4 linked regions of the Medicago truncatula genome follow. The protein of the gene in region 3 interacts with the protein of the main gene of each other region in a pairwise test. Links are inferred from orthologs where the notes say so. Each region holds a gene or a part of one and is shown on either strand. Other genes may lie near its edges.

Region 1 (6,576 bases), on a different chromosome or scaffold from region 3:
TTGTTAGCATGACATGAAGAATAAAAGAAGAGACTTGAATATGCGTTTCAGGTGGGCTTTCTGAGTGATCGCCGACGAATGAATGTGGCCGTGACACGGGCAAGAAGACAATGCTGTATTGTCTGTGACACTGAGACAGTCAGTAGTGATGGATTTCTAAAGCGGTTGATTGAATATTTTGAAGAGCATGGCGAATATCAGAGTGCATCCGAGTACCAGAATGAATAGGCGAAATTCCCGAAGGTTGCTGTTATAGCTCTGATGTGATCAATTTGTCGATTTTGGTGATGTAGATCTGTGAAGGTTTCTAAAATCCTTCTTTTGCTATTTAGAATTGAAGGAAATTGAAGTAGTATTATAGAAGAAAGTAGACAAGACCATTTTATTTAGGAGAGTTTCCTGATCTCCATATTATTATTTTAAAATCACTTGGAATTAGAATTTTTAGTCTCTTCTTGTTATGAATCTTTCTTATACTTAATATATGATGCTTATAAACATCATTTTTAATTGAAAGTTCTTCTGTTAAAAATATACTGTCAAAATCTTAAATTTGTTAAATTATTGCGTGAGTGTGACATGGTCTTTGCTGCTACTACTACTACTAAAACAAGCTCCCTCCTGGCTATTTTCCTACTCTTACATTGCTGTCAATAAATTGAAATTCGTCACACATAAGTCAAACAACAATTGAGTACTAGCAGAACCAAAACCATCTGATCTATAGCTTAGGCATAGTTACTACTAAGTAGTACTCCCTACGACCTTAACTATAAGCAAAAAAGTATGTGTATTTAGTCCAAATTTAGATCAAATACATGTAATTTTTTGCTTATATTTAAGGCTAGAGGGAATATCATATCTAATTCTAACTAGATTTCAAGTCCATAAAAGCTAGCTAAGGTGGTTCCTCGTTTCTTGACAAATCAGCTAAGTTTCTTAAAAGTCCCAAATGGAAGTTGAGAAATTAAGGTGGTCATTCGGGTCATATGCTTCAAGATGGGTGGCTTCTGATTCCTCAATACCCGCAAATTCATGCATCTCGATCAATGCCTCCCAATTAACACTCATGTCTGAAAATATTCCTAATTGATCATTATCATCTCTTGGCAAAACTTCATGCACTGTTGAACTTCCTGAACTCTCAGTTTGCTCAGAGTGTGATCCTTCTTTCAGTATTCCCATCTGTTGAAGAAACTCATTTAGGTCTATCTGTGGTTTCTCCTCCTGAAGATCTCCAAGCATCTTATTTGCCGATGTTTGAACGATTGTTTCCTTTGGCAAAGGATCTTCTGTATGACTCTTCTTGCTGTCTACTTTCTGAATTTCTTCTGCCTTTGGATCATTAGATGAACTAGAAAATGATGATTGACTTGCAACAACTGCATTCTGCTTAAACTCTTGTAGCCTCTGATGGATCAAATGAACGCTAGGTTGAGCGTTTACATTGAGTAATCCACAAGAAGGAAACATTGAAATGAAATTCTTTGAAGGCAACCACTTGAACTTTCCAGTTTTCATAGTTGAATTGGAGTGTGTTTGCATGTGTGGAAGATTAAGGTATGCATCTGGTCCATAGAGTCTCCTTGCAGCCTCATCATAAGCCATGGCAGCTTCTTCAGCCGTGGCAAAAGAACCAAGCCAGAGTCTGGTTCTTTTCTTTGGCTCTCTTATCTCAGCAACCCATTTCCCCCATGTTCTTTGACGAACACCTCGATACTCACACGAAGCATTTTGAGGGCCACCTTTGCCTCTGGTTGGCCCTTTCTTCCATGGTTTCAAGGGGGATTTCTTGGAATTATCCATCATGTATATTGAGGATATAGTAGAACAGAACAAGTGAAAGTAGTAGTGGTGTGTGTGTATTATCAGTGGTGAGTGATACTTGGAACTGCATGTTATAGGAGCGGGATATGTAGAAGCAAAGGGTGGAGGTTGGTGTAAATGTTTTCACGTTTGGAGAAGTAGCTAAATCCATGTGACCGTTACTCAGTACATACATTCTTCAAAATCGTGTTTTTCTTTTCTTCATTTTCATTTTTTTCACATCTCTACCCACAAAATTCTTACTAATAATTTTTTTAATAAATTATTTTTAGGCTTTTCTGTTTTTAATTTTATTTTGAATAGCCTTTGCCTTAGTGCTGCCAGCATATATGTGCATGACTTAAAAAGTACAAGTGTGCATGGTGTTAACGCATGATGGATAGTTATATACATATATTTTTATTTATTATTTATTCACTACACATACAAGATACATATACTTTTATTTATTATTTATTTACTACACATACAAGATACATATATTTTTATTTATTATTTATTTACTACACATACAAGATAATCATTTCAAAAAAATTTAGAAATTAAGAGATAAATATAATCGTATCCTCAAATATCTAAGGTTGAATGCTAAAATATCCACATTGATTTACTTTCGAGTAGGAGTGTTCAAAACCGAACCAACCCAATAGAAAAACCGCAAACCAAACCAATTCAAACCGAAACTGCAAAAAACCGCACTTGGTTCGGATGAATTCATATGACTTTTGCATTGAACCGTGCGGTTCGGTTTGGTTTGCGGTTTGTCAGCAATCGAACCAAACCGCAAGAATAATCAATATTACTTAAATTTGTACGAGCCCAATTACATAGCCCAAGTTCGATTCTATTTGCTTTCCATCTCCTTCAATTAATTTTCGGTGATGAATTTGTTTCCTTTTCTCCCCAATAATTTGTTTCAGGCTTATGCTTCTTCTTAATTTTATCTATTTTTGATATAAGTTTTGTTTGGTTTTAATCTGGTTAGTTATAATTTGTGTGTAACTTATATGTATTGTCTATATATGTTGTGATGAGTGACTTTATAATTAGTGTGTAACTTTATACACTTGTTTTGTTTCCTTTTGAGTAATGAGTGACAATGATTCCATGATATTTTTGTTTAATTGTGCTTCAATCAATCATATTTGATTTTTGACATACATTGCATTTGATTTTAATCTTGTTAGTTATAATTTTACCTATTTTAATCAACCATATAATTTTACCCAGTTTATGACACATGTAATACATGATTATATTAAGGCAAAACAATATATTGTTGGTATTGAAAATAAAAGTTTAGGATCTATGCAATTGATGTATTGTCCTATTTTATCATGTAAACAACAAAATAAAATGTCATGTGTTTATTTTGTAGCAAATCGGCAATATTAGAATTAACATAATATTTTTTAGGTTTAAATATGCCTTTAGTCCTTGTACTTTCATCAGATTTTGGTATTGATCCCTACACTTTTTTTTGTTTGGAATTGGTCCCTGCACTTTGTAAAAATATTGGTATTGGTCCCTCTATTAACTTTCTGTTAAAAAAAAACACAAAACTATTGGTATTGGTCCCTGCACTTTGTAAAAATATTGATATTGGTGCCACGTGTCGTGAAATGATTGGGCCACGTGGCACTCCGTTGGTTTTGTGTTTTTTTTTAACAGAAAGTTAACAGAGGGACCAATACCAATATTTTTACAAAGTGCAGGGACCAATGCCAAACAAAAAAAAGTGCAGGTACCAATGCCAAAATCTGATGAAAGTACAAGGACCAATGACACATTTAAACTTATTTTTTATCTCACGATAAACGACACCAACCGAACCAATCCAAGCCGCATTGGTTTGGTTTGGATGACTTTTTAAAAATCAACCGAATCAAATCAAACTGCATGATTTTCTATCTCACAATTTGGATGACTTTAATGCTTAAATCTGAACCAAACCACACCGTGAACACCCTTACTTTCGAGTCAAATTAATTTTAAAGAGCTTTTTACAAAATTAAAGAGACTTTCTAGATCTCTACGTCGGTTTAAGGGGGGGTGGGCATATTTACATTCCATTGATTATTTTGTTTGACTATTTCATTTTACATATTCTTTATTGTTGTGGTGTTCACGGGTCACACAGTTTTCTTGGAGCTCCAATTTGCATGGTCAGTTAACAGTTGGTCACGATGATTCATTGAGTATATTTATCTTTTACTTAAGAAAATAAAATAAAATACATTCATATTTAGGATAAATGATATATACAAATCTCAAGCTTAATCATCCCCGTGTCAAAAAAAAAAGAGCTTAATCATCCCATGCTGTTGGATTGAATGGTTTCTGGGATCACATTTAAGGAGTAAATCAACATTTTGGCAGCCAAAATTATAAATATTGGCAGTTTTTTTTAGGTACATAGATTGAGCAGTTTAATCCCTTAAATTTGCCGACAGACAATTTAGTCTCTTATATTAAAGATCATCAATCAATTTAGTTTCTTTGCCAAAATATATGTTTAGGAAATATCCAAAAAAATATATTAGAATGAAATAGATTTTTAGCTAAAACAATATTTCATTCATAAGTCAAACTTGGATTTTGTCAAACGGTTTGTATTTTGTTGAAGCTCGTTAATATCCAATCATTTGGTTGTGAATATAGTACAGGCTAAATTATGTTTTTGGTCTCTTAACTATTTAATTAGTATCGATTTGGTCCCTTAATTAAAATTTGATTTATTTCGGTATCTTAACTTCTTTCTGTTACACATTTTGGTCATTTCTGTTAGTTTTAATTCAAAAACATTAGGTTTTCTTCATTTTCTGAAATTTTTCTCGGAATTTTGTTGTTGAATGTTGATGGAGATGATATGAAGATGAAGAAGATGATAAGAAGATGAAGAAAACCCAACATTTTTAAATTAAAACTAACATAAAAGACCAAAATATGTAAGGATGGAAAGTTAAGATACCAAAATAAATCAAATTTTAATTAAGAGATCAAAACGATACTAATTAAATACCAAAAATGCAACATTTTACTTAAACCTTAATCTTGTTTTTATGGGTTTATATTGATATTGATTGAATGATGGGTGTAGAGATTGTGAGTAGAATATTTGCAAATGAAGACTTTTCCAAAGTGATGTAGTGATTGTCTTGAATGAACTCTGACACTCATCCTTGGATTCTATTTTGATTTGTCCTCGGGTAGGATCTTATTAGTGATTAGATAAGAGTAAGAACCACCTCAACAATTTTCCAAATCACGACCTATATTTCACATGTTGTCCTGCAATACACATCCTGATTCTCGAGACTTCACTTCACCTTTATCCCATGTAATGTAATTGCTCTCTCTCTCTCTCTATATGTATGCATCTCTTCGTGACTCACATTCTTGCACGTTATGGTTCTTAGATACATGACCAGTATATCATCATGACGTTGAGTTTGTACGTACTAAGGAATATATATTGGACACTGTTAAAGAGAGCACATTTCACTATTTTAAAAACTTGTTTACACTATCACAATATGGTAAATTAACTGAATGACTATAAAACCACAATGTAAACAATTCTTAGAAAAAACACAATGTAACAAGTTTTTTTTTTTTTGACAGAATGTAAATAAATTTTTATACATATACGTTTGATTTTTTATTTTTTTGAGGGGATACATACGTTTCATTTTATTTTACCATTTTATCATAGCAGAATATCACCACTCCTCCTAGTAAAAAATATCACCACTCTTTTGTTTTTTATTTATCAAGTAGTCTAGTATCTAAAAATTCAGGTGAATATAAGTGGGATATTCAGGGTTCGAACCTCCGCTTTGTATTTATTACGCAATGTTCCTACCAACTGAATTAGGTTTAATGGGACAAAATATCATCACTCTTATTAAACGTAAAAAATTATTAGATGTTTTTTCATTTCACAAATATTTCTGATTTATTTTCATGTCGGTAAAAAAACTATAATAACAAGATGATAAATATAATCATGAATACATTGAATCCCTTCATTATTTCTGATTTATTTTGTTTAGAAAGTGTAAAGAAATTCTTCATTCTTAAAATTTTAGTTAAACTGTTTTTATAAGTTTTAAAGTTTTAGGATAAATTGTACCCAAAAAAAAAAAATTGGGATAAATATATATTATTTTTGCTAGTTGCACTCCTTATTGTACTAGTGGCACACCCCTCAAACTCAAAATATTTAAAAATAATACCCAAATTACTCTCAATGTAAATGTACTAGAATTAAATTTAGTTGAACCAAGTTCACATAAGCATGCGTGAATTGTACAAGTTGCATGTGATCTGGGTTTATGAAAATGAATTTGAACTGAGTTTGTATAAGATCTAGAAATTTAGAATCAACATGTGATACGTGAATTGGGTTTGTGTAAACATACTTTAATTGAATTTGCACAAACGTACTTGAATTGAGTTTCTCTTTGTACTGATTTTTTGTAAGTGTACATGAGTTTGCGTAAACATATTTGAAATTCCATATACTACGTGAACTTAGTTCATGTATGCCTACTTGCATTGAATTAACGTAAACATACATGATCTCAATTTATGTATATCCCTGTGACATGAAACACGGAAATTGCATAAAACAAAAACAAAACAAAAATCCTACTTGAAATCCAATACATGATCAACAAAATGAAGTATGATAAAATTGCATAAACAAAACTCTAAATCGCAAAAAGAAGAAAAAAGAAAAAAAAA
Region 2 (7,193 bases), on a different chromosome or scaffold from region 3:
TGGATCTGAAGAAATGGCTGCACTAACACTCTCAACCATAGATGAAGGTGGCGGTTGCCCTAGTTGAAGTAATGGTGGTAGCTTGTGTGAGAAGAACAATGGTAGAGGAACTCGGTTATGATGCATGGAGAGGTTATGGTTTTGTGTGAAGTCGAGGGTGATTGTTGGGAAGGGCTGAGAAGCTGATAGGGTTGAGGTTGCCATTGTTGCATAGGGAAATGAATTAGATAAATAACCTGTTGCTGATTCCTTTCTTAGTGTTGATGAGGTTGAACTTGATAGCAGCATTGCTGCAGCTGCTGATGTTGTGTGTGCTATGGCAGTTGCAGCTGGTGGGAGTGGGTGATTGTGGTTGCCTTCATATGTTGTTATTAGTATTGTCTTGTCTTCTGCACATCTTTGGACCTGTTCAAGAAACAAAGTGCACATATACTAGTATATATATATATATATATATATATGATTAATTTATAAAAGAAACTAAGCATATGATTAATTTATTACCTGTTTGCGAACTGGACATCCTACAGCCATAGTGCAACGATAGTAGGCACGAGGACAAGGGTTACCCTTGGCCATTTTTTGTCCATATTTCCTCCACTGACATCCATCGCTGATCTAAAATCATCAATAAATAATTAGTATATTATGTATTGATCTAAGCTATTTAGCATTTTTCTAATATTAATTAATTTCCACATTCATTCATTCATGCATGTGGCCGGCCTAGCTAGCTAGCTATATATCTATCCACCACATGAATTAGCTCTTCAAAAAACAATATGCATGCACCAAAAATAGCTTAGGCCTCACCAAGTTAATATAACTGTACAATGGTGTAATACGGGTGATGATTATTATTATTAATAGTAGTAGGATAAAAAGTGAAAGATATTAATGTATAGTACCAGGGGAGCTTCTGATCTTGCACGTATGGAAACCCTGGCTTTTTTGAAAGGAATTAGGTCTTGTGTGGGTTCTTCTAACTTGGATGAGTGTGAGGAATCTTCTGCAGGATGATCATGAGGACAAGCCTGTTTTCCATCCGAAACCGATGCATTATTATTATTCAAAAAAATTTGTTCTGATACCATCCCATGATTTTCTTCCATATTCTGTTCCACAAATATTATTACCTTTGTTCAGCACTATTAAATGAAATGTGTCAAATTTTTATTGCTTCAGTGTTCTGTTACTTGGTGCCTACTTTAAATTACACTAATTATTCAAAAGATATGTATAAGAAATATAAATTTAATCATTCAAAAGTTTATGATACACCGCAACAAAATCTTGAATAAGCCAATAAAACAACAAAATAAGAAGTTAATGAGTTCAATGACTCAAAAAATATTAGAAACATGAGACTAAAAACTTAAAAAGTGATTTAATTAAATGAGTTGTTTTTCCTCTCAACTCTATGAGTCAAATACAAGAGAAATAAAAAGTTGATTATGACTTATAAATAAAATTAGGAAAATGTTAACCGGTGTCTCCGGACACTAGTTAACGTCTTTAAATGTTAATTTATCATGAAATTATGTGTAATCAAAATATTTAACTTTTTTATAACATAAGTTTCTTCTTTTAGAATCCTTAAAGAGTGCCCCGGAGGCACTCGTTAATAAGACCCATAAAATTAATGGAAAAAAAGATTATTAATAGACCCGACGGACCAACATGCTCCCGCCCAATATCACTGCCTCATTTTTAGTAGGTTTGACCAGACCAACCAATAATGTCATCTTCAAAATTTCAACTTAATCTCGAAAAAAAAAAACGGGTTAAACAGGCTGACATGACCGAAGTCATATATCATAAAACAAAAAAATATGTATTTGAAAAATAATTAATTAAAATTATACCCCTAAAAAAATTAATAAAAATGTAATGTATTAAACGTTTGTTGACTATACTAGTGGAAAAATCCAAAGAAATGAACTGAATAGATATTATAGTAAGAATGAGTTTGAAAAAAGACAGCCAAGGTTTCTAATTTAAGTGAGGCACGCTACCCTTGTTTTCTTTATTGATGACTAAGAAGTTTTTTTTGAAAGGGATGACTAAGAAGTTTATAGAGTTGTAGACATTAAAAAAAAAAAATCCAGAAACAAACAAATCATTATTTCGTTATAGGAGAAAATAAAATTAAAGCATAGAAAAAATATTTATCTGATTGACGATGAAAATTAATAATCAAATGTTGGAAACATGCTTAGATATCAAACATACACACCTGACCATGGTTTGGTTTTTGTTTCTGCAAAGTGATGAACAACTGAGCTTGTAGTTGGCTATAGCTTTTGGTAATTTGTTCTAACATAATTCTTAATTTATGATTCTCTTCTTGCACCCTCCTCAATTCACTTTCAAGTATACTCATCTGACAACACACATATAACAAATTTAAAAGAAAATAAAAATCCAAAATATATATGTTCTTCAAAATATAAATTAACATAAAGTTAAATTTTGGTCTATAGTACACACACAAACCTCAGTTTCAGAATTTTCAAGATTTTCTTCTTTTGAAACTGCAGCACTTGAACACATTAAATTCAATCCAGTCTGTACGAAAAAAATTAATATATAATATAATGAAATATCACAATTGATATGAATTAATTTCCAAAATTTACATTAAAAATATATATAAATATAATTGATATTTAAAACGTTTACGTTAACAGGGTCATGATGAGTGAGTAGTAGTGTTGGTAATGGTGATACTTCTTTGATGATGCTGCCATGTTGATCAAGATCATCTTCTTTATTGTTTTTGTTAGGTGATGATGAGAAGAAATCCATTTCTTTGATCGGAGGATCTATACTGTTGTTGTGGAGGAAGTCGCCGGAGGAGCTTAAGAAGGATAATTCACGGTGGTGGTGGTTTTCCATTACTATAAATAATAATTAGCGGTGTAGAAAGAGGAGAGAAAGTGCTAGGGATTTAGCAATGACGTGGTAGTTAAGCTTGGAAATTAATCACCCTTCTTCAACTTAAATGTTTAATTTAATTTAATTTCAATCTAAATGCTGAAGCGCACGTCCTCCTCCCTCTTTGGACCTTAAGCTAGGGGTCCCACATAGAAGATTAAAATGAAGAGACCTTGAATGGAAGAACTTCTTGTGAAGAAACTAGCCATTTTTGGCTAACAATGACGTCACCATTAGGTTACAAACAAATGGTATCCTGCATGGAAAATTACTATTTAGGCTTACCTTTTTTCTCCTAGCCACCCTAAAATTGCGTTAATACTTTCAAAGCTTCTGGCTTGAAGGATTAACTCGTTGGTTCATTCACATAGATACAAGGATGGTAGAAAGTGTTGAGTATCATCGTCCATCGACCGACTTAGATGGAAGCATTGAGTTCACCCATATGAAGTTCAGGAACAATGATAACATGAAAACCATGTTTTTTATATTTGGTCAGTACAATATTAAATGATTGATCGAGTTGGATGCTTCCTTAGCCAGACCTATCAAAGATATTCAAAAACATTTTATTCGACCCAAAATCTCTTCATCTTGTATGCAGGTACCAGATGAAGAGGTTAGTTTGGCTGATTTGTGATCTTGTGTTTGTTTTATTAGTTGTATTGCAATGTACTTTAGTGAATGTTGTATTATTGTGTTGTTTTATGTTGTATTTGGGTTTGAGTTTAATTAACGTAAGTTCTTGTTGTTGTAGTAAAATTTGATTTAATTAATTGAAATTTATGAAATGTTGGCATTAAAGTACTTTATTTAAACAAAGTATAAGGATTTATTTGTCTTTTTGAGAAAACTCAAAAGAATGGATAGAACATGTTTTGTATATTATTCCTAATGAGCTCTGCAGGTTTTCACATCGAACCCTTCATATATAAGATGAATGGTGATGAAAGAAAAGGTGTTCGAAGATGTTGTTTTGAACTTGATTATGCTCTTATGTCAAATGAAATATGTCAGTTGGATGGACAATAAGTTCAAGCTCAAAACAACATCTTGGAACACCTTCCCTGTCATCACCGCTCATCTAATAATATGAAGGAAATATATATGTCAGTTGACAGAACAACATGATCAAATTCAAAACAAAAACATCTTCCATTTCATCACCACTCATCTTATATGAAAGAATTCGATGTGAGAATCTGCTCAGCTGATTAGGTAGAATACAAACATGTTCTCTCCATTTTTTTGAATTTTCTTAAAGAGACTAGTAAATTCTTACACTAAATAAGGTGTTTCAATGTCAACATTTTTAGAACTACTTCTCATAATAAATTTAATTATTTTTTTATTTAACAATTTAGTCAAATTGAAAGAGATTTCTTATTATCTTATTCAAGTGCATGGTTGAAGTAATTTTAATTATTTTTCATTTAATAATACTATAATTTTTTTAATTCTTGTGAACTAATTGGTGTTAACCTTCGATTTCTAGAGAAATTGAGTTCTAATAATTTGAAGTTCGATCAAGAGATAAATAAAGTTTGATCAATAATTGTTTCATCTAGGAATTAAACTCAAATTATTTTGAATAATTCGTCATTTGATGATGTTCATTAATCACTTGAGCCTAATTGATTGATTATCAGTGAACTAATTTGTTGAAAGGGATTTATTTTTTTAGACGTATAAAATATATTTTTGCCTCTTCCAAAAAAAATAAACTACAAGGATGAATAAGGTCAACTTAGTTGACGGCACAGCTATTTCTCTCTCAAACGGTGGTTAGAGCAGTGAGGCCCACAAGATTGGAAAACCTAATCCTACTCCTGCTGACTTTGAAGGTAATAGCAACGTCATTGAGTTCATATGTCCATCTCAACTAAGGCGTATTGAAAGACCCAACCGTGTAAGCCTAACTGCGGGTCTCCAAAGGCAAGGGAAAAAATAACGACTTCATAATCATAACTTGATTTTTAATGATCAACCCAATCAATACCAAACTGTTGTCAATCCTAAAATTATCAATCACTTGCCATTTGCTTGCGTTTGGTCTTACATTGAGTCCTCCAAAGGTTTTGAATATAACTTATCACCAAAATTATTGACTTTAAATTTGTTAAAAAGTTCAACCCATTTGTTTCTCAAAATTCGATTGTCTTTTAGAGTGGATGTTATTACCAATAGAGACTAGAAAATATATATAATTTTTTTTAATCAAATAGTTTAATGGTTAGAAATTCATCTTTTTAGGTCAATAAGTAGGTATTTGAATTTGAACTCTGACCATGTATATATTATGCAATTTCCATAGCAATTGAACTAAGTTAACGAAGACTATATACTAATTTGTATTGAGTGAATAGATATTTTATTATTTATTTTGAACGTCGTTCCTTGATATTATTTTAATTGAACAAAATGAAAATCAAAACTGACCCAGCATCATTAGAGGGCTAAAACAAATTTTTTAACGAGACCTTTAAAAAAAGCAACACAAGAAGATTTAAAAAAAATAATAATCAGGTTTTGCTAAATTCAAGGTTTGAGCTTGGATCAATGAGGATATGAAGGTCTCTCACTTTGACCAATTAATCAAGGCAAGCTATGGATAATTTTAAGGCGATAAAAACAATCCAGGTGTTTTGAGCTTGTCTGAATTTTACTAAGAGTTGTGTGTTGGACATTAATGTTGACCATGGAATCCTTTACTTTATTTCCTACTCACCAATTTTTTTTTTAAAGAAAAAATCAATATAAATAGGAGCAAAGCAATATAAGTTGATGCAATTTCAATGGAAATTAACCCTTACATAGGACCCGATTATGTCCAAACTGCACCACATACACATTACTATGATATTATGTCCAATTGTATTAGTCTATATTAATTTATGTCCAACGAAATAAATTATATATTTCTTGTTGTGTTTTTGAAGTGATATGAGAGAATAAGAGATTGTCATATGTTAATAGGCATGACAATGGGGCGGAGTTTTACATTCCCCATCGCCATACCCGATACTTATATATTTATCTGTTACCCTACCCATATCTAACGGGGATGAGAAATTGAATCTCATCCCCGCCTCATTCCCGTTCTCGCATTGAATAATTTTTTTTTAATAAAAAATAGAAGTTATTTTGCATCCCCAAGAGCAATGTTATAATACATCATCCAACAATACGCTCACTTTAACATTTGTTAGACGAACTGATTTAGTTGATCCTTTAAATATCAATGGTAGTTTTTATTAACATGACAATTATCAAACAAAATAACATGACATGTCAACATAAAGTAATTTTTTTACATTTGGGACGAGTTTAGGTATGGGTTCGGGGTGGGTACCTATATACCCGTTACCCGTCCCATACCCGTATTTTGAAATCGGGAAAAACCCATACCCATATCCAAACCCAGTCAAAACAGGGAAAACCGTCAAATTGGGTTTGGTTCGGACGGGTAACCGTGGGTGTTATACCCTGTTTTTGGACCTAAAAATACTGGGCCCAATTTCATTTCAAACTTTGTCAATTATCAAATTTCAACTGCACAGTTCAATTTGTCTCTGCCTCGCAGTATTTTCAATCACAATTTTACCTATGTTTTTCTTGCATAAAACCTTTTAAAATGTCTTTACTTGTCTTGTAAGTCATTTAAAAGTGTCTCTGAATCATTACATTGCTTTTTTCTACAGTTTATTTCAAAATTTGCAAAAAGTCATACAGAAGGGTATTTTGGTCATTTCCTGCAGTGGGACCCATTTTCATCCTTGTGACTGTCTCTGAGTCTTTTCAAATTCATTTTTAACTTTCCATCAGTAAACTTTGTTAAAATTCATTTCAAACTTGCATCTGAGTCAGTGTCAAGTCAATTTGATTCAGTTTAGGTCGTTTTTAGCCCTAGGGGCATTTTGGTCATTTCACATGAAATTTTGGCATGGGGAGGTTACTTTGAAGTACCTCATTTAAGCCATTGGTTCGTTTTAGTCCGTTTTGTCAGTTTTATTTTTGTTTCACTTTACGTTTGGTCAAATTACGTTTTTTATTCAATTTTATTTTTTAATTACATTTTGGTCCCTCAATTGAGGTCCCAAAATTACATGTCAGTCCAGTTTCTTTTCCAATTTTCATTTTAGTCCTTTTTTGGTCAATTACAGTTTAGTCCTTAAGTGTTGTTTTTTGCAGAAAAGTCCATTTTTTGTACAAGGCCGTGTCACTCTTTTTTTTTCAGGTCCAGGTGTCACTTTCTC
Region 3 (6,240 bases):
TTGGCGACTATAGACTTTAATTATGAATTTTTCAAATTGTTGATCTTTCTTTCCCTCCCAATTCTCATGGTGGGTTAATCATTGGCCCTACCAAAGCACTGGGAATCTGAAATATAAGCCTAAATTATTTGCATGTCAAGGATGAAAAAAATAAATGGACTCGTGTACCCTTTCATAACTGAATTTGGCCTTGCTTTATGAAAGTTTGATCTATAGTGTGAGTGGAGTATCCGGTGTGATTATTATCTAAGATTTCGGCTAGATCGAGGACAATTACATGCTTTATTCAAATTTAAACCTAAAATATGAGAGTATAGTACATGCTTAATTAAGATAAGATTAGTAGAATGCTTAATTAAGATAAGATTAGTAGAAGTAGGTGCGTGGACTTCAGTGTCTGTATAGCTTCACCTTTTAACCTAAAAGCTTTCGATTCACAAGCTTATGTCGTCTAAAAAAGGATTTATATTTTCCAAAGTCACACCTACTACGCTGAAATCAACAAATGAAAAAAGGGTGACAAATAAGTTTGGTTAATTTGGCTCCAAAGTCATGGAATTATAACATTACGTGAAAAGAGTACAAAGATACAGTAGTGACAACATCTTTGTCTTTCTTCTTTCCCAATGTAAATGAAAGAAGAAATTACTAAAGCAAATTAAAGCACATTTTGGAAAGAAAAAGCTAAAAATTGTTATAGATCAAACTCCTTCATCTGCCTTCTGGGTGTAATGGGAAAAGCTCTAGAGTTTTATGTTCCTCTACTTTGCACATTGACCAATTTTTCTCTTCCAAATACTCAAATGGCCAACTCCTACTCTTCTTCAATGGGCTATCTTCTTGATCTCTTTCCATTACTTGCACCTATCCAAAAAATGTAACATATTCAATTAAATATACAAAATTTAATAACCTAGTAACAAAAATATATTTTAGTATATACATATTGTTCATGGTTTTAAATTATGGTCCAAGACTATAGTTGCGTCGACAATATAAAGGATTTTAAGGTATCTGCAACGACATTTCGAAACCACGATATATAGGTTGAGTTGAATATTATTTGAATACGAACATACCCTTTTTGGGGTGTCCAAAGTTGTAATAGTACTAAAGGTGGGGGACATAGACACAAGTGTGGTGGTGGGAGTTCGAGGACTATGAGGAAGGCCAAGACTGTTACGTTTCTGCTTTTGTCTCTCGCGTGCTTTGTGGTTTTGGAACCAATAGAACACATTTTTCCCTTCAATTTTACCGTACTTGCTAAGTTGAACTGTAATCTGTTCTATTTGTTGTGCATTTGGAGTTCTCATTCCACCTCTGTATAACATCTCCAATATTCCTATTTGTTCTTGTGTTGGATTCCATCTTGTCCCTCCTGGAATATGCGTTTCAACCTATACATACACAAATAATAATACATATTAACATATAATCGCCAAATCAAAAGCTTTTAAACGACAAATATTGTTCGTTTAATTAAAAAATAAATAAAAAATTGGTCGTTTAATATTTTTTTCATGTAACTCAAGTCTTATATGGAAAAAGAGCAAGTTCATGTTAGAAGAATTATCAGACATTAAATATAGATACATCTGATAACTGAAGTTTATAAGTATTATAGTCAGAAATATGTTATTACCCTATATACCTATATATTACATGAAGTTAATGTGAATTATTTATGTTGTTCTTGATTATACTAAATTTTTTAATGCATTATATGCACACGTGAGTTAATTATCACTCTACTGCATGGTTAATTAAAAGAAATGGAAATGAAACTAAGTAGAGGTTAGTATATGAACCTGGCTTTGTGGTGAAGGTGGATCTTTCTTGTTATCATCAGAGGAAGAAAGACTAATTCTGGGAGCAGTTTCGGGTCTAATGAAACTCTTGAGATCAAAAGAAAGAGAAGGGGTGTTAGTAGTAGAATTATCGGTGTTATTAGAAGAAATTTTAGGTGCAAGAGGACGTAAACGCTTGCAACCAAGTGTGAGGGAAGGTTCATGCTCCCAAAATCCACGTGTGAATTGATGCACCTTCATAATGTTTATGTTTAATATAATTTGCCACACGGTGTGATGAAGAAATGAATGACAGGGAATGTGATTATATAGAGAGAATGAATGAATGGAAATTATGATGATGAGAAAAACAAAACAACAGTGAAAAGTATACAAAGTGGGAAATGAGGTGTTGCGTGTAAGAACCAAGACCAAATGATGAGGTGCAGTTGACTTTTGATTTTCCCTCTCTAAATTAAACCAAAAGTAAAACACGACAAAATTCTTCAAATCAAATCAAATACTGTAACTTACATTTTGTACCTTCAGAGAATACTACTGTGCCTGGGTTCATTCCAGCTGCCAGATGAGTAACAACCTTTGGATTTGATTTTTATACACTATTAAAATTATTGTAAAACTTTATCACTGGTACATTCATTCATATTTCATTATTTTATATATAGAAAAACTTAGTAACTAATATAGCAAAATGACATTATTATAGTGTATTTTGATTATTAATTAGTAGGCATGGCAATGGGCGGGGTGGAGACAATTTTTACCTTTCTTGTCCTCATATCCTAATCTCAAATATTTACACGTTATCTTACCTATATCCAACGGGGATGAGAAAACAAATTTCATTTCCGTCCCTGACAGGTTCGGGTATCTCATCCCCATCCCCGTAGTGGATAATTTTTTTTAATAAAAAAATGTATTTTTCAGCCCAAAACTCAATGTTGTAATACATTATCCTGCAAATAAATGATGGTGATTGATTGCTATGGTGACGGAGAAGAAAGATACTCAGGGTGTGAGATGTGGAAGGAGAAGAGAGAAAACTTTGAGAAATGAATACTGAGACTTTGATCGTGTTAGTGAAATGATTTAGGATTTGAGTTTATATTATATAAAAGATATAATAAATTGATTTTTTACCTTCAGGTATGGTTATGAGTTCGGGGTGAGTACTTATATCCGCATTACCTGTACCGTATCTGTATTTTAAAATCGGGGATAACCCAAACTCAATCAAAGCAGGTAAAACTCATCAATTTAGATTTGGTTCGAACGAGTACCCCATGTATGGGCTTTGTTGCTATGTCTAATTATTAGTTGTATATATGCGTAATAAAACTATATATTAATTTTTGAGAGGCAATAAAGCTATATATTGTTCCTTAAAAAAAAAAAACTATATATTGTTAGCACATGATAGAATGTATTAAGATCAAAATATGTTTAAATTTATTTGATAATAAAAAGCAATAGAACATCTTTAAAAAGGTTTACGGTGATCACACCTTTCTTTTCTTTTCTCATGTCGATGACTTTAAAATTTCTTCTTGTTTTAACCTTTTCATTCATCAAATCAAATATCACACATTTTTTTACTTTTAATTTATCTTTTTTTTTTTCTTTCTCTTTCCCTATTATTTTTGACACTCAAGAAAGGGAATGTTGTACACATATCTGAATCAGAATGAATGAAGAGGATGTAAACGTGTGTGGACACAGGAGTTTATAGGTTGGCCCGTCAAATCGGGTCGTTTAAAATTTTCTTACTTTCATCATAAGGTGTTCTCACTTTTCGGTGGCCTTCATCAATTAAAGTTAGTGAAGTGAGGAATGAATGCAAAAAGATTCCTCCAATCCCAAAACTTGAAGATGGAACCCCTTTTATTTGCTTTTTCAAGATACAGATTTTTATATGAGGAAAAAATGCAAGAGTAGGGAAAGATGTGGACTTATTATGGCGACCATATTGAGAAAAACTAAGTATACTATAAAATAAAATTAAAGTTTAAAACGTGTTTATAAACCAATTTTGTAAGGACGAATTACATAACATATATGTATATTGGTTTGGAACACCATAAATTAGATCCATGCATCAAGTCGCTTAAAAAAAAAAATACATGCATCAAGTTAAATAGGGGTGCGGTGTATTGCAAAAAATATTCTCACATAAAATAATATAAAGCGTGACATAAATTTGTGAGAAGTGACATCTCATCTAAAAAACGAGTTACCCGTTTTATAAAGATGTATTAGATCCTATATACAAATATATTAAACAAAACCTTGAATATAAGCTAAATCTTGTGTCTATAATCTTATGACCATATAAATATTTTTCAAAAATAGTTTCCTTATCGGATCGAACCCCATAATATCCACTCCTCTACTTTAGGAACTGTAGCACCAATTTCCCAAATTCTACTTTAATACTCAACGTATAGACCATGCATTCGTGATATAGCCTTAAAATTTTATTTCATTAATCTTTTTATCCAAATTGACTCTGTTGGTGTATTATTATAGTTTATATGGACTCCTCAAGTGGAGCCATGTCTTATGCATATTACTATATAATAACCAATCAAAGATTCAAATGTATATAGAAATGTGTATGTGCATTTTCATTCGTATTGGTTAAACATATTCTCACTTCCCAAAGCGACATGAGGAGTGGCCGGGCAATAATTCTCACTTCCCTACTAGCATATGATTGAGTACTCTTGAGTAGCTGGGAATTTTTCCGTCGTAGTTCTTTGAATTAACAATATAATTATACATACATTATATATATAAAATTTGACAAGATATAAGTATAAACTACTCCCTTAAAAAAACTATAAACTATAACTTAGTGGATATAACAAACATTCAAATTGAGAGATTACATCATTCAACACCGCTAAAAACGTAAAGGATGAATCTGCGAACAAACTCACAACATCCAAGTTAATAGCATATAACGGCATAATGCCTACACAAATATATGATGAAATTAAAGTGACCGGAATATCCATTGTCTCCGGATCTGCAACGTTGATGCCCAAATCTTTGATTGAACAATCGATATTTCAATATGAATCAAATGAACACCGCACGAAGACGGGAAATCAAACAACGCCGCACAAGACGACGAACAACAAATCACCACACTTAGATGATGAAATTACAAAGAAAAAAAAACCTAGATCTATGTGAAAATCACTTATTTAAATTGAAATAAAGAGAAAAAGATGAAGAGGGGTGATTTCAGGTCAAGTATTGACCCAAAGTCACCCCTCAATAAAGAAATTGTAAGAGAAAACTTAGAGAGAGAAAACTAGGGCCGGCTTATTGGAGAGGGAGAGATTCTATCAAGAGTTTAAGTTATTATTTTATTCTCAGTTCTCATTAGTTAGGTTATATAGTTTTTTTACTTACTGCATATAAAAAATGATTGAATCAACATGGCAAGGTGTTTTTATATTCTTTCTACAGATCAAAATCAATTAGTTAAGATGAAAATTTTAAGTTCAATATATGAATTCATTTATATACTATGAAATTGATCGATAAATGTCATCGGGATTTGGGATGGTTAGAGCCTTGTGTACATGTAAATATATAAATGACCTACACATAATTTTGATTTTTTCGGTACTTAATGCACTAAAAATAGAGGAAAAATGCTAACAAGGGTGTGGCCATATCTCCAATCTAATATCAACGAGTCATTACAAAGAGATTTAACTTTAAACAAACACAATAAATTAGTTTTCCACAAACTCTCCAAGACCAAACCTAATCGTACCATTTTCCACTATCTTCTCATGAACAAGAGAATTACAAAAGTCATAAGAAATCTAGCTCCCAATGTTCTCAAGAACATTCTTAAATTTCTCTCATTTACCCTCTTATAAAAGTGTTTCCCACCCCTAGAATCTCTCCCAAAAGGCATAAGTCGTTTTCCAAGAGTATATTCATTTGGTTCTTCAAGGATTATACAAAAAGAACAAGAAGAAAGTTTAAATAGAGGTCCAAAACCCGAGCCATGCGCCAAGCGCATCACTAACAACATGCACAACGTACAAGCCTATGCGCTCATAAACATCATATGCCTAGCATGCGAGGCCAAAAAAAAACTTTTTCAAAATCTTCTCTTTTATATATAATGAGATTTTAACTCACACTCAACAATATAATACAAGTAAGTTCCGCTATTTTTTTTCGATAAAAATATTCTTTAAAAACATACTTCATCTAGTCACATTTATAAGCAAAAAACAACTTTTTAAGTACATTGAATAATTAATGCATTTGATCTATAAATATGATCGGATACATTAATTATTCAATATATAATTAAAAAGCTATTTTTTGCTTATAAATATGATCGGAGGTAGTACTTTCTTTTTCGTCGTCAAAAACCAATTTATTGCTAAAAAATAGTGCC
Region 4 (6,511 bases), on a different chromosome or scaffold from region 3:
CTCTACCTTTGACTTTATAGTACAACCAATCATAGACCGTTAGATTAAGTCATTAAGATATAGTCTTTTAATCTAACGGCCTGTAGTTGGCTGTAGATTATCCTTTTTTGGGGAGTTTTATATAGATATTCAATGTGACCATCCTAATGTGATTGGTAAACCTTGAGACACCGAGTTGAATTTGTATCACAAGGAAACTAGCCACTTTAATATGGTGTCATAGTTATCTTCTGGTTGAAAGCAACCCCACCCCTTAATTTCTTTGCAATATATGTGGTCCTAAACTTATATGACAGTCTAAACTCTAAAGTAGTGGCGATTGAGACAAGTATGCTGCTAAGCTATTGAAAGAAAAGAAAGTTGAAGATAAGTGGGGAGAACGGCATGCATAAATGGAAAAGACAGACAGAGAGAAAAACCATCAAATTTTTGTTAGTGTACTATGTAGGTATAGTGCTTTCAAGTGTGGATGTGGACTATTACCATTTTGAAAAATAAGTTGAGGAAATCATGCTGTGTTTTGGATTACAATTGGTCAATAGGGCTTTAGAGTTTAGAACATAGATGCCGGTGGCAAGTACAAGCACACATGTGCACTATATATTGCACAATAGCAATAATATATACATATATATCTCTATCTTTACAAAATAACAATCTTGGCATTGATAAAGAAAGAGTTAAATCAAGTTATAAGACAAAATTGGTTAATGAATTTTGTTTAAAATTTTAGCTAAAATAATCTCTGAGTCGAATATAAAATTATTAAAACCTCGTAAAAATTAATTAAGACAAAAAGAGATATAAAAGTGGTTACCTAGCTATAAATATCTATCAAGTTAAAGAAGATAAGCACGCATGGGAAGAGGGAACCAATAACTACTACAACATTCTCAAATAGATGTGATGGATAGATATAGATACATCATACATGGACATCTACTATATATCTACAATACTATACACCACAAAGAAAGAGTGATGGTGCATCTCTTTTTGGTGAAAGTGATGTTCTGAGCAACCCCAGTCAAAGGGAGCATATTGGCTAGCTAGCTACAAGTATACTGCATACATATATATGGATGGTTGGTTGGATAGAAATAATAATTGTACTCTCTACTCTCTCCACCACTTATCTCCTTTTAGGGTTTCAAGCTAGATACACTCATACACGTGGGTTTTTTCTTTCTTTCTAAATTTCAAACAATTAATGAATGAATGAAAAATGCATGATAAATATTAAAGAAGACAGAGAATAATAAGAAAATAAACTATTTGAATTGGAGGTCATTATCTTGGACAAATACCTTAATTTGCTCATATGATAAATTCAGATTGCTCTTTAGACATCTAACAATTACTCATAGACATCTAAACATCTCACTGATATATAGTTAATTATCGTTTGAACGCTTTTTAATTCGGTTAAACCGATTTAAAATATATTGAATGATAGTTAACTACCATTTAGCAGAACATAGTTAAATATCATTCGAGGTATTTTTTTAGGTGTCTCTGAATAATTGTCAGGTGCCTAAAGATTACATCAATGAGAAATTAGTGTTATATCACCCTATATGTACTAATTTTGCCATAGTACCATACTATTAGCCGTAAACCCTTATTCTTTCATACTTATTCAATAACGATTTTTTTAATTGTGTTTTTTTTTTTTGGTCAAGTAGTCTAGTGACTAGAGAAATTCACCTTAAAGATGAATAAGTGGGGTGTCCGGGGTTCGAACCCCGGCCGCTGCACATATTGTGCATTATCCCTTACCAAATGAGGTAAGCTCATGGGGACTTGAATTGTGTTATTTAACATCCATTTATATGACAACTTTTGAGACAATTAAAATTTGGCTTAATTGCACTATCTTTGGACCCCTATCTTTCTAAAAGTTGCGGTTATGGCCCCCTAACTAATTTAAATACAAAACAGCCCCCTATGTTTTGATTTTTTGACAGTTTTGGACCCCCAGTCCATTAGTGAGGTGTCACGTGGCCCCCTAAATAATACACATGGCACCTCACTAATGGAGCGGGGGTCCAAAACTGCCAATGAATCAAAACATAGGGGGCTGTTTTGTATTTAAATTAGTTAGGGGGCCATAACCGCAACTTTTGAAAAGATAGGGGTTCAAAAGTGCAATTAAGCCTTAAAATTTTATAAAGAAAATAAGGAATTGACACAAAAAACAACACAATAGAGAGAGAGAGAGAAAGTAAAAATATAATATATGATAGAGAAAATTGTAACAAAAGTTTTAAAAAAATGGTTTTTCAAATATCATTTCTCAATTTATTTACATCTCTCTTTCTACCACATCATAGACAAATCACACAAAATGTCCCTATTTATATCACTCATAGTGTATAAAAGATGTATAAGGGTTGTATAGATGTCCGCCCATCTTTTTCTTTAGTCTAATTGGTTTCCAACATGTTTCAATATTTTCTATTATATATCAAATGAGTAATGATATTTGTACACTCATTTGATGATAATTTTTGTGACAACTTTATTTTTCTCTCTTTTTATTAATCAAAAACAATATATATAGAGAGAGAGAGAAAGAGAGAAAAAAATAAAATAAAGAGATAGGATAAGAATATCATGTAAGTAATAGAGAGAAAATTGTTCAAAAGTTGTCACAAATATCAAATATCATTTCTCATATCAAATATACTTGAGGACATTTTTTTAAAGGGGAGAATGCTCATTCCACATCACCATCTCTTTTTCAAGCCAAACATATATAGCATGCCAAATAGTAATGTCAAAGACAACAAATAGATGGGAAACAAATTCAACATGAACAAATAGGGAGGCATAAACTTCCTCAAATATATAATGTTTGATTCAAGATCGTTGACTCAATTTTATAGTATATACTTATATATACGTCTATATGTATTTTTTATTTGTACCCGTGTCAAGACGTATACTAACGTGTTCATCTTTTCACTTTTTTATTGCGCTTAACTGTGTGTTTGTTTTATCTTATTTTCTTATAAATTTGTTAGAATATATTATAAATTAGATAATGTAAATCTCCACTAACGTTCTACAACCTTGTCTCATTTTGTTTATATTTTTCAATTTTTTTTAAGTACATGTTTGCACATATCCGTAAAGCATCTCCATATATATCCATATACTTTTCTTAAAAACAAAAATTATAATATTTAGGGTTCATTAAGTTTTTAGTCCCTATAAATATTCACAGTTTTATTTTTAGTCCCTACAAAATAAAATCACACTTTTTAGTCCCTGTGATATTTTTCTTTAAGCATTTTAGGGACTAAAAATGTTGATGAAAATTTTTTATAGGGACTAAACATGCTGATGGAAAAATTTTATAGGAACTAAAAATGTTGATGAAAAATTTTATAGGGACTAAAAACAAAATTGTGAATATTTATAGGGACTAAAAACTTAATTAACCCTAATATTTAAGATACATATATTCATGAAGTGTCTCAGTTAAGGAGCATCACACCCCATACTTCTATTCTATACAAGGTCAATGGTTATAAGCTTGGTATACATACATATATAGTAGTAGGAAACTAAAGGTGTGGGTGTGTAAGGGAAGTGATTGAAGAGGGTTTTAGTTTTCTGTCAATTCTCAAGCTGTGCCCACCACGTGAAGTGGCACACACAAACTATAACTTTTTCTATCCACTCACTTTCTTTCATTTTATCTTCCCTAAAGAGGTTATAAACTTTTTGCTCAAAAGCAAACCATATGATCCTTGTCTATAAACATTAAATCACTCTTGTTTGATTCTTTACCTTATTTCATATTTATTATTTATATTTATCTCCTCTTTCTTCTCTCCTTCCTTGCTAATTATACTACTCTCCTCGTAAGGTATTTTTATTTTCATTTTTATTATTATTGTCTATGTGCTGTCATTCTCATACTGTGTAGTACTTTGCATTTTTGAAGAAGCCAACTGTACAATTTATATATAGCATCACTCTCTCACACATACCGTGTATATATATATATACACGGTACTGGCAATGTCATAGAAGTAAAAAATTAATAGTACTTGTCTTACTCATCAAATTATGCCTTCCTTTATTTGCAGGGAGCAGAAAATATACACAAAAATGAACTGAAAAGGATGGAATTAATAGCTGCTGCTCTTACTTAAAGAGGAATTAACATGTCATTCTCAGGCTTTGGAAAGTCTCGATAATTAACAAGCCAAACCAAAATCTATAGCTATGTCTATATATATATATATATATATATTTCATCATCAAGACATGTACTAGCTAGCTAGGGCTATAGTTATTGTTATTATATATAAATAAAGATATATTTATAATATTGTTTGGTGTTGGTGCAGTACTGTCTATCTCAATCTCAATTCTCAACATATTCCAGATATGTATTCTTCAAATAGTTCCCTCAATGGAAATAACCTAGCATTTTCCTCTAAATCACCTTTTTGTTCATTTGAAAGCAACTCAACTTCATCAAAAGATATTGAAAACAGTCATTCCCCCTTTCCTCTTCCCAGTCCTTTCTCTTTCTTTCAATTCCCTAATTATCCTGATGATGATATTGATCCCTTTCAAGACAGCCATCAAATCTTCCTCCAACAACATGATGTTGATTTCCAACTTCATCATCCACCTGTTGTCATGAATAACAACAGTACTGATCATCATCAGCGGCCTTCCAATTCAACAATCAAAGCTAACAACAATCTTCTTCCTGCAGCTGCTGGTAAAGGCAAAACTGTAGTGGATCAGCAGATCCAAAGAAAAAGATCTAGCAAGAGAGACCGACACAGCAAGATCAAAACCGCGAAAGGACTAAGAGATCGGAGAATGAGATTGTCACTTGAAGTTGCAAAGAGGTTTTTTGGTCTTCAAGATATGTTAGGCTTTGAAAAAGCAAGCAAAACAGTGGACTGGTTGCTCAACCAATCCAAACTTGAGATCAAACTCCTTGCAAGAGAGAAAAATGTTAATTTTCCTACTAAGAGTGCATCTTCAACTTCTGAATGTACTGAAGGAGTTTCAAGCTTGGATAATGAAGTTGGAAATCAAGAAGAACCACAACAACAAAAACTTGTTATGAAGAGAAGAAATAGTACTAACAAGGTTTGTAGAAAGAGTGCATTCAATTCTATAGGTAGAGAAAAAGCAAGAGAAAGGGCAAGAGAAAGGACAAAAGAAAAAAGGAAGGCTAGAACATCACTAGTTGATGAATCAAATTCAAAGCAATACAATGAAGAAGGAATAAAAACTAACCTCATTTGGAACCCCTTTGAAAGTGTGGAAGAATCTGCAGGTACACATCAGAGTACTCAAGGTGTGACTCATCCTTCCTTTGATCATGTGAAGCTGATTGATGAGGCTGAAGTAGAAACAAGCTCTCAAAAAGCAAAGGAACAACATTCAGATGAAGATAATTCTTTGTTCATTATGAGCAAATGGAGTCCACCTATGATGTTCAATTCTCTCAATAACCTTCAACAAGTAAGTTCAAATTAGCCATGCATATATATATATATATGAAGCATGTATAATATATATCTGTAATCTGATATATATAAATCATGAAATTGTTTGCAGCATCAATTTGAACAATTTCACCAATCCATGGAAAAACCTTGGGAAGCATACAACAACCGCATTTAATTAACATGCTACCGTACTTGCACCCCTTATCATCACCTCCTCCTTTTTGTGTCAGTCAGGCTCAGAATAAAATGCATTATGCATTGCTGTGTTATTTCTTTGCTTTCCTTTTTGGAATGTTATGTGGTGAGGTATCTTCAGAATTTTGGAAACAATATTTCATAAATATTGTTGTGTGTGTATGTCATCTCTATTTAAAGTGTTGCCACTTTCTTGTTTGTTTCTGTTCTGAGTTCTGACCTTGAAATTGGTACAAGTTTACAATTTATATATGTGTCTCTTGTAAGGGGTATTTTTAATTGATGATAAAGAAAAATAACTGATTGATTTTTCTCCCTATCTGGTGAATATATGCAGTAATTAGTTATATATCATTACATTTTAGTTTTGAAATGGAGTTGAGGTGTGTTCAATTTAATGCTGCTGCTATTGATGTCATATCCATTTACATAACAGTGTTCCTGATCCTACCTGACATATTTCCACATGCTGTAGTTGTTTTTTCTTCTCTCAAAGTCCAACCGTCCCTTGAAGAAGGTTAGGGTTACTTGTCAGATGAGGATGTATTTAAAATTGTTTCCAAAACTATAATATATATTATGCATTTAGCCAATGTTTATAGAGGTCACTTTTTTTGTTTTTTGTTTTAATTGAGAAAGGAGAAGTTTCTATTAATCATGATGACAGTAACTAATGATCATTTTACAACTATTCTAGACGAGATTTAAACTTTGTTCAAATCAAGTTCCTACGACCTAATCGACACGTGAACTATTTATAGGTCACCGATTTAACACTTGGTCATCCGATATATATCTACTTAATTTGGACACATGTAATCCGC

Evidence for each region.
Region 1: the proteins of WUSCHEL-related homeobox 4 (region 3) and dehydration-responsive element-binding protein 2F interact in binary tests that used the Arabidopsis thaliana proteins (3 or more experiments, as listed by UniProt). The link is inferred for Medicago truncatula from reciprocal best matches to the Arabidopsis thaliana genes WOX4 and AT3G57600.
Region 2: the proteins of WUSCHEL-related homeobox 4 (region 3) and probable WRKY transcription factor 47 interact in binary tests that used the Arabidopsis thaliana proteins (3 or more experiments, as listed by UniProt). The link is inferred for Medicago truncatula from reciprocal best matches to the Arabidopsis thaliana genes WOX4 and WRKY47.
Region 4: the proteins of WUSCHEL-related homeobox 4 (region 3) and transcription factor DICHOTOMA interact in binary tests that used the Arabidopsis thaliana proteins (3 or more experiments, as listed by UniProt). The link is inferred for Medicago truncatula from reciprocal best matches to the Arabidopsis thaliana genes WOX4 and BRC1.

The regions. Positions count from the first base shown.
Region 1 is NC_053048.1:43,371,351-43,377,926, reverse strand, and holds dehydration-responsive element-binding protein 2F, read right to left. Parts: upstream 1,875-6,576; 5' UTR 1,810-1,874; coding exon 940-1,809; 3' UTR 533-939; downstream 1-532. Other genes in the region: DNA-binding protein SMUBP-2, read left to right, coding at 52-228. UniProt on the Arabidopsis thaliana protein: Transcriptional activator that binds specifically to the DNA sequence 5'-[AG]CCGAC-3'. Binding to the C-repeat/DRE element mediates high salinity-inducible transcription.
Region 2 is NC_053048.1:52,389,200-52,396,392, forward strand, and holds the start of probable WRKY transcription factor 47, read right to left. Parts: upstream 3,006-7,193; 5' UTR 2,899-3,005; coding exon 2,683-2,898; intron 2,569-2,682; coding exon 2,497-2,568; intron 2,384-2,496; coding exon 2,237-2,383; intron 1,116-2,236; coding exon 909-1,115; intron 619-908; coding exon 505-618; intron 406-504; coding exon 1-405. UniProt on the Arabidopsis thaliana protein: Transcription factor. Interacts specifically with the W box (5'-(T)TGAC[CT]-3'), a frequently occurring elicitor-responsive cis-acting element.
Region 3 is NC_053042.1:5,757,309-5,763,548, reverse strand, and holds WUSCHEL-related homeobox 4, read right to left. Parts: upstream 2,103-6,240; 5' UTR 2,049-2,102; coding exon 1,809-2,048; intron 1,398-1,808; coding exon 1,080-1,397; intron 865-1,079; coding exon 712-864; 3' UTR 518-711; downstream 1-517. UniProt on the Arabidopsis thaliana protein: Promotes differentiation and/or maintenance of the vascular procambium, the initial cells of the developing vasculature.
Region 4 is NC_053045.1:54,389,027-54,395,537, reverse strand, and holds transcription factor DICHOTOMA, read left to right. Parts: upstream 1-4,369; 5' UTR 4,370-4,404; coding exon 4,405-5,505; intron 5,506-5,601; coding exon 5,602-5,667; 3' UTR 5,668-6,006; downstream 6,007-6,511. UniProt on the Arabidopsis thaliana protein: Transcription factor that prevents axillary bud outgrowth and delays early axillary bud development. Indirectly required for the auxin-induced control of apical dominance.